Linked DNA regions of Drosophila melanogaster. Changing the gene in region 2 together with the main gene of any one other region gives a genetic interaction. Each region holds a gene or a part of one and is shown on either strand. Other genes may lie near its edges. The genes, in order: bi, p38b and Atf-2.

Evidence for each region.
Region 1: of p38b (region 2) and bi, changing one enhances a phenotype caused by changing the other (phenotypic enhancement), as found in Drosophila melanogaster (one study listed by BioGRID).
Region 3: of p38b (region 2) and Atf-2, changing one enhances a phenotype caused by changing the other (phenotypic enhancement), as found in Drosophila melanogaster (one study listed by BioGRID).

The regions. Positions count from the first base shown.
Region 1 is NC_004354.4:4,411,333-4,416,000, reverse strand, and holds the start of bi (bifid), read right to left. Parts: upstream 3,146-4,668; 5' UTR 3,081-3,145; intron 2,540-3,080; exon of another isoform or gene 2,102-2,539; intron 1-2,101. UniProt on the Drosophila melanogaster protein: Essential protein that may function as a transcription regulator. Vital for pupal development. Required for proper development of the optic lobes and wings, and abdominal pigmentation.
Region 2 is NT_033779.5:13,778,867-13,783,209, reverse strand, and holds p38b (p38b MAP kinase), read right to left. Parts: upstream 2,522-4,343; 5' UTR 2,446-2,521; intron 2,344-2,445; 5' UTR 2,211-2,343; coding exon 1,113-2,210; 3' UTR 601-1,112; downstream 1-600. Other genes in the region: CG16890 (uncharacterized protein), read left to right, coding at 1-213, 265-600; CG9008 (uncharacterized protein), read left to right, coding at 3,478-3,565.
Region 3 is NT_033778.4:24,868,321-24,872,030, reverse strand, and holds Atf-2 (activating transcription factor-2), read right to left. Parts: upstream 1,924-3,710; 5' UTR 1,822-1,923; coding exon 786-1,821; intron 733-785; coding exon 623-732; 3' UTR 542-622; downstream 1-541. Other genes in the region: CG16896 (uncharacterized protein), read left to right, coding at 1-322, 386-541.

The DNA.
Region 1 (4,668 bases), on a different chromosome or scaffold from region 2:
CCATCATCAGCTAGGTGGGGGTTTTTGTGTGGAGGAAAATTGCGTGAGTGCTGCTGAAGTCTGAGGCCAAAGGAAGTTGCTGGATGTCAGTCAGCTTTGCACGAGACAGCAGGACCAGGTTCTACTTCCCCAGCGCTTGGCTTCTTCCTCCCCTGCCAAGTCAGCTGGCGTGTTAGTCAGTCAATAGATAGAGCCAGGATAGCAGGATACAAAGGATCTGTCCATCGGATGTACAAACGTACACGCATCCATATACGAGTATGTACACACACATATAATATAGATGTGGTGCGTATTTATCGGTTAAGTGTGCAGTGTGTTTGTTGCCTTCAACCCCAAAAAAAAAAAAAAAACAAGGATAAGTGCCGCATCCAGGCCATTCCCAATTCCCGAAATCCAAAAAATACAATCCCCTCTTCCGTTTTCTTCCGCCGGTTGTAGCAACAACAATGGAGCTGGCATTTTATAGTAGCAGAGTACACAGTACATACCCCACCGAATACGGAATACGGAATACTGAATCGTGATTCCCGAATCATAGCCATATCCATGTCATAAGTCCGTTAGCAGCTTACCAACGAACAACCCCGACTGGAAACCTCACCAATTAATTGGTGAAGTCAGCAAAAGATATAGGTATTATGTGTTGTGGTATTTTGGAACTATTTTAGGTATATATAACACTTAATTCCGTAATTCGATCAAGACAATATATATTTCCAACTGTGTAATAATGTAATCCCTACTAAATGAGGATCAAAAAGAAAATGCATGTTCCCTCGGAAACAAGAAGAAAACATTCTCTAATATGTAATACAAATGGTTAAGGGTTGTTACCTACTTTCGAAAAGGGTTGAGTACTACGTTTCTAAACAGTCATAAAAGTCACTAATCGCTAATAAGCAGTGCAATAAACTACTCGAAAGAGAAAATTATTTTGGTGCTGGGGAAAATCCTTTCCTACAAAACATTGCTCTGTAAACGCGAATGATAATAGCCAGTGGCTTGGAATATTAGATTTATAAATATCCTTGATTTTCAGGCTTAGTATTTCGAAATTAGAACAAGTAGTCAAAATGTTTGCACGTTTTAAATCCTTTTCCGTATAACAATAGATAAATAGAAAAATGTCTAATTATTTTTGTACATCTTCAAGTGAAAGAACTTTGTGTGAGACCAGATTGATCGAGTGCTTGGCCAAGTATTCATTCTTGTGTTCATGGCTCAGTTCGTTTGGCACAACAGAGCGAAGCGACAAATCCAGTTCTGAATACAAGTTTGTATCGGTGGTCCTAGGCGGCTACGATCTCCTCCGCGAATCCCCTTGATCCCCTCCCTATTGAATAAGGCCCCATACAAAAAACCGGACTGTGCCGCAGACGCCGACTTGAGATATTATGTTTTCCGCAGCTGTCAAATTTGATTTGACAAATGTAAATAATACGGACAGACAAAGAGATTGTTGACATAATGGAAGGCGAGCTGATTTACACTTTTAGCTGCGTGTCGAGATGCGATCGTGATCTCGTCTCCGGAACCCCGCTCCCCAACTCTCCCCCCCCCCCTTATCCATCGCCATACATTGCATATATATAGTTTTTTTTTTTTTTTCTTTTTTGTTTTGTCATGCCTGAACAACTTGCAAATCTAGCGACTGTTTGACTGACTGCCTCCGGCTAATGGCTACAAATTGTCACATCAGTTAAGTAGCGAAAAAAGTATGAGAAAACAATTGACGAGGCGATAAACTGATGATACGGGTTCGGAAAGAGTTAGCTAATTGGATAATGGTTCCGATTTCGTTGCGCTTGAGCAGATCGGGATGGGGAATCTCCTGGGGGTTGGATCAATCAATCTAGACAATCTCCCTGGTGTTATGCGATGTGATTATCATAATGGGAAGGAGTTCCACCACGCTTTGTTTAAGGACTTTCCTATTAACTCATTGGATCACCAAAATATTGAAAGTAATTATCAGTAGTTCTACATTTAATGTTTGTAAATTTCTCATTTCTCAAGTAGGGAAAAACCAAGGAGTAGATTTTTTTGATAGTATACTATTTATTTCCAAGGGCAGCATAAACATAATATATTTGTATACCATTATGTTTTCATGATCTGAAACGGTATTTTGAAAATCTCAGGCGGAAACCAGTGTGTTTTTTATTTATATTCTTTGGACCTCCCACCTTGCTGTTGTTTGATTTTTATATATGTTTTTTTTTTTAAGTTTAAATACTCCACACTTTACGCACTTTTCAAACACAATTTTCTTTAATCTTGTCAGGTTTTCAAAAAATTCTGGACTGCACAAAAAAACAAAACAAAACAGAATCTGCAGGGTGATGTTGTTTCTTGATTCCTTATCGTCGACGGCCACGAAACGGTTAACGGTTAGCGGTTAAACGGTGAGCCGTATCGGTTAAGGTCAGTGTATTTATTTTGCCTTCGGATTGAAGCAAAAAAGGGGAATCACACGTAAACACGGCGAGACATTTGGTTTATCTGACGACGCGACGGCAAAAGCGTTTGACGTGAGCGTGTGACAGGCGGCGACTGCTGGCCGAGAACGATCCAAAAAGCCGAAAAGCCCGAAAAACGAAAAAAAAAAAAAAAACAACAAATAACCGGGCCAAGACGACGCCGAGCGCCAAAGTGCAAGAAGCCGGCAGCGACGTTCGCAGCGACGCCGGCAGAATGCGAAAGTGGGGAATCCCCATCGCGTGGGGGGAGGTGGGTTGGCCCGTGTTATGTTCACCACACGCGGGCAAAAAAGCTAAGGCCAGCTTAGCATAGGTTTTCCCCCTCGCCGTGCTGTCGAATGACAAGCATTTTGACACCCAAGTCGTGGGTAGTCTTGTAGTTGCTATTTTGTGGGTTACATATTTTCTTTTTAAAGCCCTTCTGTGTAATCCCTACACTCTATGCTCTCAGCTTTACTTGGCGAGGCCATTCTTTCTTTGCTTTCCTTCTTCTTGTCTTTATACGTAGCCTACCCTCCTGGTCTAACCCTATATAAGTATAAACGTATTCTTTCTTTCTTTGAGTGAAATCCCTCTGTGCGTTTTAAACCCACGTACACCCCTGGATTTTCCGCTGTGATCTCCGCTCTTCGTTTCATATGAAGTGTCGACGTTTACTAACAGAATTCCAATTTTGAATGACGCTATTCGCCACTCTGCTCGACGCTTTGCTTCACAAAACCCACCACGGCAGCACAGTCGACGTCGGCAGAGGCAGAGGCACGAATTCGCCTCGTTTCGCTTCGTTTTGAGTGAGCACTTCTTTGCATGTGTGTGTGTGTGTGTGTGAGTAATTGAGCACTTACTCAGAACCGGTTTATGCTAGGTTTTTTTTGTATCCTATTTGGTCCGAGCCAGGATAACAACACGCCGGATAACTCACGCACATTCGAATCGCATCCTTTGACTTCTTGGGAAAAAAGGACAACGGCTTAACCGTTAAATGTGTGTGTGTATGGTGTCCATTTTTTTTGGGGGGGGATACTACGAAAAACTGGAGCACAGATTAAGTCGCTGCCAAGCGAAAATAAACAAATTTGCAGAAATACGTGGAACCAATTTCGGGTAAAAGGAGCCAAATAAAAAACAAACTAGGATGTTGGCATTGTTATGACCTTAAGTATATGAAATCTGGAAACAGCTTTAAGATATTAAAACAGCTAAGAATCCTTTTAAGACGTAAATATGATTGTAGCTATTAGTTAAGTAATATATATACCATATATATATGTATATATTTGGGTTGGAAATACTTGGTAATCAAATGAAAGTAAAAACAAAAAGCTCAGCTTTAAAAAAAACACTAAATATTAATTCTAAGTTACAGAAAAAATATACAAAACCAGAGATAGTTGGGACTGTATTCAGATTGAGCTAACAGCTTATAAGAAATTATTTAAAAGGATTTTCGTAGGAATAATTGTTGAATTTTTTATATCTTGAACTGAGAATTTAGAATTTTAAGCAACTTTTTTTTTATATATTAACGAATTTATAAATTATAAAGCTTAAAAAAGGAAGAAGCTCAACAAGAAGCAAAAAGAAGGATGAAGATTGTGCGTGCGAAAGGGAGGACCGATGTCACGCAGAGCTAACGGTAGTCGGAATGCCATATGACACTTTCCTTCGCTTTTCGCCTTTTCTTGGGTTTTCATCCGCCGAAGCGCCAGAACGTAATGAATAAAATATGCAATAAGCGTAAAGCAGTAGAAATATGCAAATTCGTTTACAACGTCGCATCTTCTCTACTCTTGCTTTCAAAACCTCCATCCACAAACGCATTCCCTCTCGCTCACACTGCGGCACTTTCGCATGGGTGCGAAAAAGACGGCCATAAAGCAACGCCCCCTGCAAGGCGACCATTTTACACAGTTTCATGTGCGCAAGAACGAGAAGGCAAGTGCCAGAGGGAATGCGCATTCTCGGTGAGAAAGAGTGGGAGAGCGAGTGAATGTGTGTGTGTGTGTGTATGACTGAGTGAGTGAGTTGAGCGTTTTTTACCGGACTGTGGTGAGTTTTTTTCTCATCTCATCGCGATCGCTTAGTGGGCGGAGTCTCGGGCTTGTGTTCATGTGTGTGCGTGTAGAAGCGAGATAGCGTTACATGGCGAGAAGGAAAACACGCACACACACGTAGTCAGCGATTT
Region 2 (4,343 bases):
AGGAAGCTATTTAAGGAGTACTGCATCGCGGACCTGTCCCGCTACAAGGAGAACAAGATAGCGCTGCGCTGGCGAACGGAGCAGGAGGTGGTCACCGGAACCGGGCAGTTCCAGTGCGGCAGCCGGCATTGCGGGGAGCGGGATAATCTGCGCAGCTGGGAGGTAAACTTTAGGTATATCGAAAAGGGTGAGCCCCTAAATGCGCTGGTCAAGGTGGGTTCCAAATGGGTTTCCGCGATTGTGTCACTAATGGGAATTCCATAGGTGCGGCTGTGTCCCACCCACACGGATCAGCTGAACTACCGCACCAAGAAGAGAGAATGCAAGAAGCGGAGACGCAGGGAAAAGGAGGAACGGCGCGCTGAAAAGAAACGTAAGCGTCGAAAACTCGATGTTGGTCACGAAAGTTCTGGCGAAGAGGAGGAGGAGCCTGTCGAACCAGCATCCGAATCCCATCCAGAAGCCAGCAAGGAGCCCACAGACTCAAAGGATGCCACCACGGCAGACGAACAGATCTGGCAACAACAACCCGATATAAGCCGAGAGCAAGCCTCCAGAGAGCAGGAATTCGAGCGATATCTAGAGGATCTCATTTTTTAAAATACATAGCACATTTATTTGGATTCAACGTAGACACTAGTGCTCTTTTTTATAGTTACTGGCCGCTAGATGCGTTCGCTTACGAACTACGATGTACATGTACACTCACATTTACAGGATTATTCACAAGAACTGCGTGTTAAAACCGACACCAAATCTAAAGTTGAACTGGACATTAAGGCTGTGACTCTGATTGATTTTTGGAAACATTTCCGAATGGCTACATTTCAGGCATGCACCTAGTTCAATCGCTATTTCTATATCCATCGAATGCAAATCGAAGGTTCGAAAATACAATACTATTTCACCTTACGTTTGTGGTCAAAACAAATTGTTGAAATCCAGCCACTGAAGAGTTTCTAAATATAAATCGCTCTAGAATAAATATCCCCGATTGTTTACACTCGACGAGTAGAGAAATCACGACTGAGCGCATCCGCTTGAACTAGGTGTAGAAAAGACTGTTCTAATTGTATATAGCATCATTGAACGGAGAGGGATGGCGGCCGGGATTACTGCTCTTTGGGCAGGAGCTCAGCGAAGGCGGCTGTGGGCTTGAAGGCCGTCACCTCGCTGAAGACCATCTCCCGCCACTTCTCCACCGGCAGCTCGTTCTCCTCGAAGCTCTGGTCGTAGAGCGCGGCGGTCTGCTCATCGGTTGGATCGTGGTACTTCTCCATGTACGGATGGGCCAGCGCCTGCTCGGCGGTTATGCGCTTGTCGGCGTCAAGTTCCAGCATCTTCTCCAGCAAATCGATGGCCAGCGGATTGGCACCGCGGAAGATGTCGCGGAAATTGCGGCGCGGCATCACCGGCAGTGAACGAATATAGTTTCTAGCGCTCTCCGAGGAGATGCGGCTCATGAACTCATCAGCTGGCGTGCCCAGCACTTCCATGATGAGGTTCAGCTGATGGATGTGATCGGTTCCAGGGAACAGCGTGCGCCCAGTCAGCAGCTCAGCCATGATGCAGCCCACCGACCAGATGTCCGCCGTCTGGTTGTAGTGCATCCAGTTGAGCATGATCTCAGGCGCCCGGTACCATCGCGTTGCGACGTATCCGGTCATCTCGCTTTCTGCGGGACGGGCCAAACCGAAATCCAGGATGCGAAGCTCACAGTCCTCGTTTACCGCAATGTTCGATGGCTTTAGATCACGATGGATGACCCCAGCGCTGTGGATGTACTTCAGACCGCGCAGGATTTGGTAGACCAGAAACTGGACATGATCATCAGACAGTTTCTGCGTGCGTATTATGTTGTTCAGATCGGCGTCCATCAAGTGGGTCACCATGTACACTTGCTGGAACTGATCCAGCGAATCGGCGGGCTGTCCTGGATGAAAGACATCCAGCAGACCAATAACGTTCTCGTGATCCATGTGCTTCAGCAGCCGCAGTTCCCGATAGGTGCGCTTCGCATGGACCGCCGACTGGAAGGGCCTGGCAAGCTTCTTGATGGCCACCTTCGTGCTGGTTCCGCGGACCACGGCCTTGCAGACCTGGCCGTAGGCACCCTGACCCACGGGTTGCAGGTTCTGGTATGTTTCCGGGATTTCCCACTCGGTGCGATTGATGTCCAGCTTGTAGAATTTGGCCATTTTGCGCGACATTTCGTTGGGATGTTCTGTACGCTCAGGTGCGGTGCTATAATGTTATTAATCCGCTGGCTCTTTTTTTGGGCAGTTCTTCTTCTTGCTTGTGGGATTAGTTATCTCTGTTCCACACTTCGCGGCCTCAACATTGCTGGAAATGAGTAATCGTACCGGGTATTACGGGAAAACGTAGCTAATTTCGGGTATTCCTGCCCAGATTCATTTGTATCTGCACAAATAAGTTGCAACTTACATCTCTCGGATTTTATTTATGCTATTCCGCTGCGCCTACACCTTTTCTGATTGGACAACAACGCTGTCTTGGCTATCGATAACCGCAAATGGGTCCGATTTCCAATCAGCTGCTGCTCGTTTATGCGTTAACATGGTTGGCTTTAGGGTGTCCCCTACAAAAATCAGAGTCCATCGAGGCAGCGGATCAATTCACAAAGCTTCTGCGCAGTTTGGTTGACAGAGTACATGATCGTCACAAACAATAATAATAATTAGATTTTTATATGCAATTTTGATTAAAGTTTTTAAGATTATATTACAATTTAAATACTTTCAATATTATTTGGAGAGTTCTATGTATGTATTCTTTATTATCACACCTTTGAGAATAAGAAATATTTAAATTAAAAATGCATTAATTAAAGCAAAAAATGAACTTATATGAAACCATAAACTCGTGAATAATGTGGTAATATCATCCACTTCAGTAAATACTTAGTTATACGTTAAAAATATAATTTTAAGGTAGAGTACTCCCTCGTCGACCATGGACATAAAGCTAATTTTAAAGCTTAACATGGGCCGGTAACAGAAGGCGGTCAGTTGGCGCAAGCTGGTTTAGTTTCAATCGGTCGCTCGTTGGCAGAACATCGAAGGTCCGGGTCGTGACGCTTTTCGCCCGAACGTTTTTTGCACGAGTTTTTTCCATACGTATTTGTTCATTGACAAAAACTCAAGCTGCGCTCTGTGCGTGCGTGTGTATGTGTGTGTGCGAGTGAGTGTGTGTGTGCTGGCGCGTCTGTGTGAGTGCGGTGCTTTGTGTGCAGAATAATTTTTGCAAACATTATGTAAATGCGCAAATTAAAGTTCAATCGACGCCCGTTTTGAGTACGAAACCAGATCGCCTTGCTTTAAGTGCCACGGAGCTACAGTTTCTTTTCGTACCCAATTTTTCAAAGATATACTCCCTCAGTAGGCAGGCACGCACACAAACATACACAGGATCTCAAACGATCCCCCGGATATACCTTTACCGTTAGGAAAATTCAAAATGGCCACGACAGCGGCCGCAATGGCCGCAACGAGTGTAGTTGTTCTGGATCGCGGAAACAATACAACCTGCACCATCAACTTGCACGGTGAGCAGAATGTCTTGAAACAATGATAAACAACAAATGAATAGCTGGCGAACAATTAATCATAATTAAGAAGACACCACCAGCACTTTGCCAAAATTTTGTTGGCGTTATTTTTAGCGGATGATTGGCGCTTAGACTCTTCCGAAACCGAAACCCGTTTCGCCCCCTATTCTCGATGTATTCGCGACCTCTGGAGGTTATCAATTCGTTCTGGAAATAACCTTGTTTTTACCTTTCGCTGTTCTACGCACCAGCCAGAGGGCCTTTGCTATCTTATCAGCCGAGATCGTCGCAATTTAGGCGCTATATGTACATATATGCCCCCACTCGATCCAATCGCTGGGGATCAGTTGGGTTTCGGTTTTGGAAAAGCTTAGAGCTTGGAGTTTGGATCTTGGAGATCGGATCGATGCGGCTCCTACTCGCAGCACATTTCGATTAGGCGTCATATATATGTATATGGTTCGTACATATATGTATACAGGTCCCTCTCTATGAGCACCTATGTACATATGTATGTATGTGAGCTGGCACTGGTGTACCCAGCGTACTTTCAACAATTACGACTGCCTGTGTCTGGGCTGCCCACGTTGCTTTCCAAGTCGCAGCCGTTTGAGCAACAGTCAGACGGCCAGAGACACAACAGCGTTTGGAACAGACAGCATATCGTACACCGGAAGAAATAACTACATATATATCTAATGGAAATTCTTGAGATCTTCATAGTTTCTTATCGGAAAGAGTTTCAGTGGCTAAGGCATTAAGGATTAAAGATCTT
Region 3 (3,710 bases), on a different chromosome or scaffold from region 2:
GAAAATGCTGCTCACCTACCAAATGGAGGTGCGTCGGCGCAAGAGCGAGGTCATCACTAAGTTACAGGAGTCTGAGCAGCGACGCAAAATTCTGGAGATGGAGAAGGACATGGACCTGCTGATGCACAGTATTGAGCGTGAGCGTCGGCGTCACAACCAAGAAATGCAGCTGGCCGAAGATGAAATTCGTAACCAGGAGATGGAGCTCCTTGCCCAGCGCTACTACTCGGATACGGAGGGTGCTCCACTGGCACAGAAGTATTACGACAAAATCCAGAAACTTTGCTATCAGCGTGATCAGCTGCAGAAAAACTTGCGTGATGTATGTGATAAAAGATTTTAGATTGTATTCTGTGATCTCCTAAGTCTACTTTCTTCCGAACAGATGACCATGGAACAGCTGCGAACTCCAGCAACATCATCTGTGCAATTTAGTCCCCAGCTGGTGGATATCGAGAATTCCATTTTTGAGATACAGAGAGAGTTTACGGAAATCATAACCACAGACAAAACATTGGAGTACAGAAGGAATTTAACTTAACTGAGGCTTTTTTGTACGAATAAACTACAAGGCTAGGATTATGTACATGGCACTAGAAAATAAATAAACAAGGCATATTGGTTATTTCTTGGCCGCGCTTGCGTTGCTGGCGGACGAAGGCACTAACACGTTGGGCACATTGATGAGCAAGTGTATACTGGATGGTGGAATCCGCAGCTGGTCGGCCACCACTATAAACGAAAATAAATTAACTTAACTTCAGGAATGGTTTATTAAAGCTTACCGCCAGCTAAGCTGCTGTGACTCCTGTGCTGCTGCAGTTCCTTTTCTAATCTGGAAATTCTTTCGTGCAGTTCTTGATTCTCCTGCTGCAGCTGGGCGTTCTGTTTGATGAGGTCCTTATGCTCGTTTCGCATCTTGTTACGGTAACGAGAGGCTGCTGCTCTTCGTCGCTCCATACAATCCTCGTCCCGACTGCGATCCTTTGCTTTCGCAGCCTTGGGCGGTGTGGAGAAACTTCGTCTGTTATTATTGCTGTGGATAATGGCCTTCAATCGCTCCTTGATGGGCAGCTGTGAGGTGGGCGTCAGACTGGCGCTACTGGGCTCGTTATTAGGTGGGTTGCAACTGACCAAAATAGGCTCGGGTCTTTTACTGGTCTTGTTTAATTCTTTCGCAGTGGGTTTCGGCAGTATGAAGGGATGAATGGCACCAGTCGGCTTCACCCTGTTTCTGTTACAATCAACTGTAGCGATGGAAATGGGAACTGACTGCGCAGGCAGCACCCATGTTAGGACCTGGGGCTGGATCAACTGCAGCGGCGGCGGACCATCTTGACTGGCTTTGGAAGGCGAGGTAACTGTCGTGGCCAGAAGCTGGTCCACATCCATATCGCCGCAGCTGACACTTTGTGGGACCTGATTTTCAGACGGAACTGATACCACGGTGGGGGCCTCGACGGGATACACCTGGGGCGTGTGCAGGGACTCACCGTCATTGGGTCGAGCCTCTGGGCGACTCGGAGTGCCGCTGACATTTCGCTCCGCTGCTTGCTGGAATCCAATGTCAAATGGATTTACGTGCTGCAGGTCCTCGAAGAGACCCACCTCGTCGCAGTTCTTGATGAGTCGCGTAGGCGTGGGCGTTTGGTCGGCGGCAAATAGAGTGTCTGACTTCTGCCCGAGAGAAATGTCTAGCGAAACATGTTCCGTCTGTGCCCGAAAGTTCTGATAGCAGGATACGTCGCCCTCTGGGGATTTTGTCTCAAAGTCGCCGAAGGACACACTGGCCAGGTGATCCATGTCTCCGGCGGTGTCCATGTCAGAAGTTACATCAAAATCATGCTATTTACAAATCAAACTCCATAATCTGCCGACAATTCTCAATTAAAACAACTATTTTGTAAATCACATTAGCAAAACAAAAAATAAAATTGTTATCGATGTATGGATGTGTTATTGAACCTATCGGACTCCATTAAGAAACCAACTCTGGCTGCAGTGCTGGAAAAGGTACTAAGTTCTTCTGCCGTAATTACGATGTAAAATGTATTTTATTACTGGTAGAACAAAGATCATAACGTAGAACTTAAAATAAATCAAATAAATACTGAATAATCTTCATTGTGTAACAAAATAAGTAAAGGAATTTTCAAACCTCGATATAATGTATATTTTATATGTTGTTTACCTTAGCACAGTAGTGATGTGTGCAAACCGATATATCGATACCGCGAGTGGGTGCAAAAAAGGCGCGCGAATGTTTTCAATTTGAATCTGGTTACCAATAAATACTGTGTGTAAAAAATACCCCTCTGTCATGAGACCCTTATTATTCCTAGCCTTTCTGTGTTTGAAGCTGTTATGCAACCACTCTTGACATTCGGCATTTCCGCAACGAAATTGCGTATCTGCCATCGCATCCAAAATGCCAAAATGCGAGTCTTCGGCACGTAGAAGCAATCATATGTGAAGAAGAGGAAGGTAAAGCGAAGAAAAAACATCGAAACATTTTTGGTAGCCAAGAAAACCCCATAATTTAAAATTTGTATCTTTTAAATTAGATTTCTCATTGGAGGAACAAGCAGAAAACAGACAGCGGACAAAACAACACGCAAAATGATTTCAAGCCGCTCGCATTTTGGGAAATATGCACGCAACGAAACGAGCAATTTTCTAAAACTCTGCCGCACAAAAAGCAGCAGACTCGACTTGTGGGTCAAGTTCAGTGCTTAAATTGTTCCCAGCGAGAAGATGGAGGACCCCTTCCGGCCCTCGTCCTCGTTGTTCACCACCACTCCAATCCGCTCCGTTTGCGAGGAGGAAGGGCCGCAAGATGCACAGCATGAAAATTAAGAAAAAGTGATGCGTAATTACAGTCATTCTCTTTCACTGCAGCCAAGCGGGCTATTCCACACAGCCATACCCTTGGCCATGTCCCGATCTCGATCCCATCCCATCCCATTCCATCCCATCCCTGCCACGTTGCATGCAACGGACGCGCGTTTTTCGGACAGCGTGGTCCATGGTCCATGGAGCTATGGGATGGAGATGGGTTCCGATCCTCGGCTCTGGATTCTCGTTTCTCGGACTGCGCTGCTGCCGGTAGAAACAATCAGTTTGAAGTTCGTTCGCATAATTATGGGCAATTTTCAAAGAACATGCGTTCCGATGAACATCTCTCTCTTGCCCGCATTCAAAGTATCCATACCCATCAGCTCCTTTTCCTGCCCCACCGCCACATCCTTTCCATCATCGCACTGCAACCTCGCCATTTTTCTTACTGTCCGTCGGTCTCTGTGGTTAGGATCAAGTGGCTGAGTGCACAAAATTTTTTTCCAAACTTGGAATAGCTTGCGATCAGGCTAAAGTAAAGCTTGAGAACAAATGTTTGAATAAGTTCCATAAGAACTTGAATTTTATTTGAAAAATATGTAATATAAAGGTATAGCAGTCCTCATAGTGATACATTGGTATTTAAGACTTGACCAGATTAACCATTCCATTTTAGCAAAGACACGTTTGGCATGACCCTAGCGTTGGTTACCAACTTGATGATCAGGTTTCTGGCCCTAGGAAATTTGCAAAGGAGTCAAGGACCGCAATTGGCCATAACGGCATGTGCGGCCTACAGGATCCGGCTGGTATCCAGCTCAGAGGATCACACTGTCCTTTCATAAATATTCAAAAACGGAGTTCCTCGAACGCCC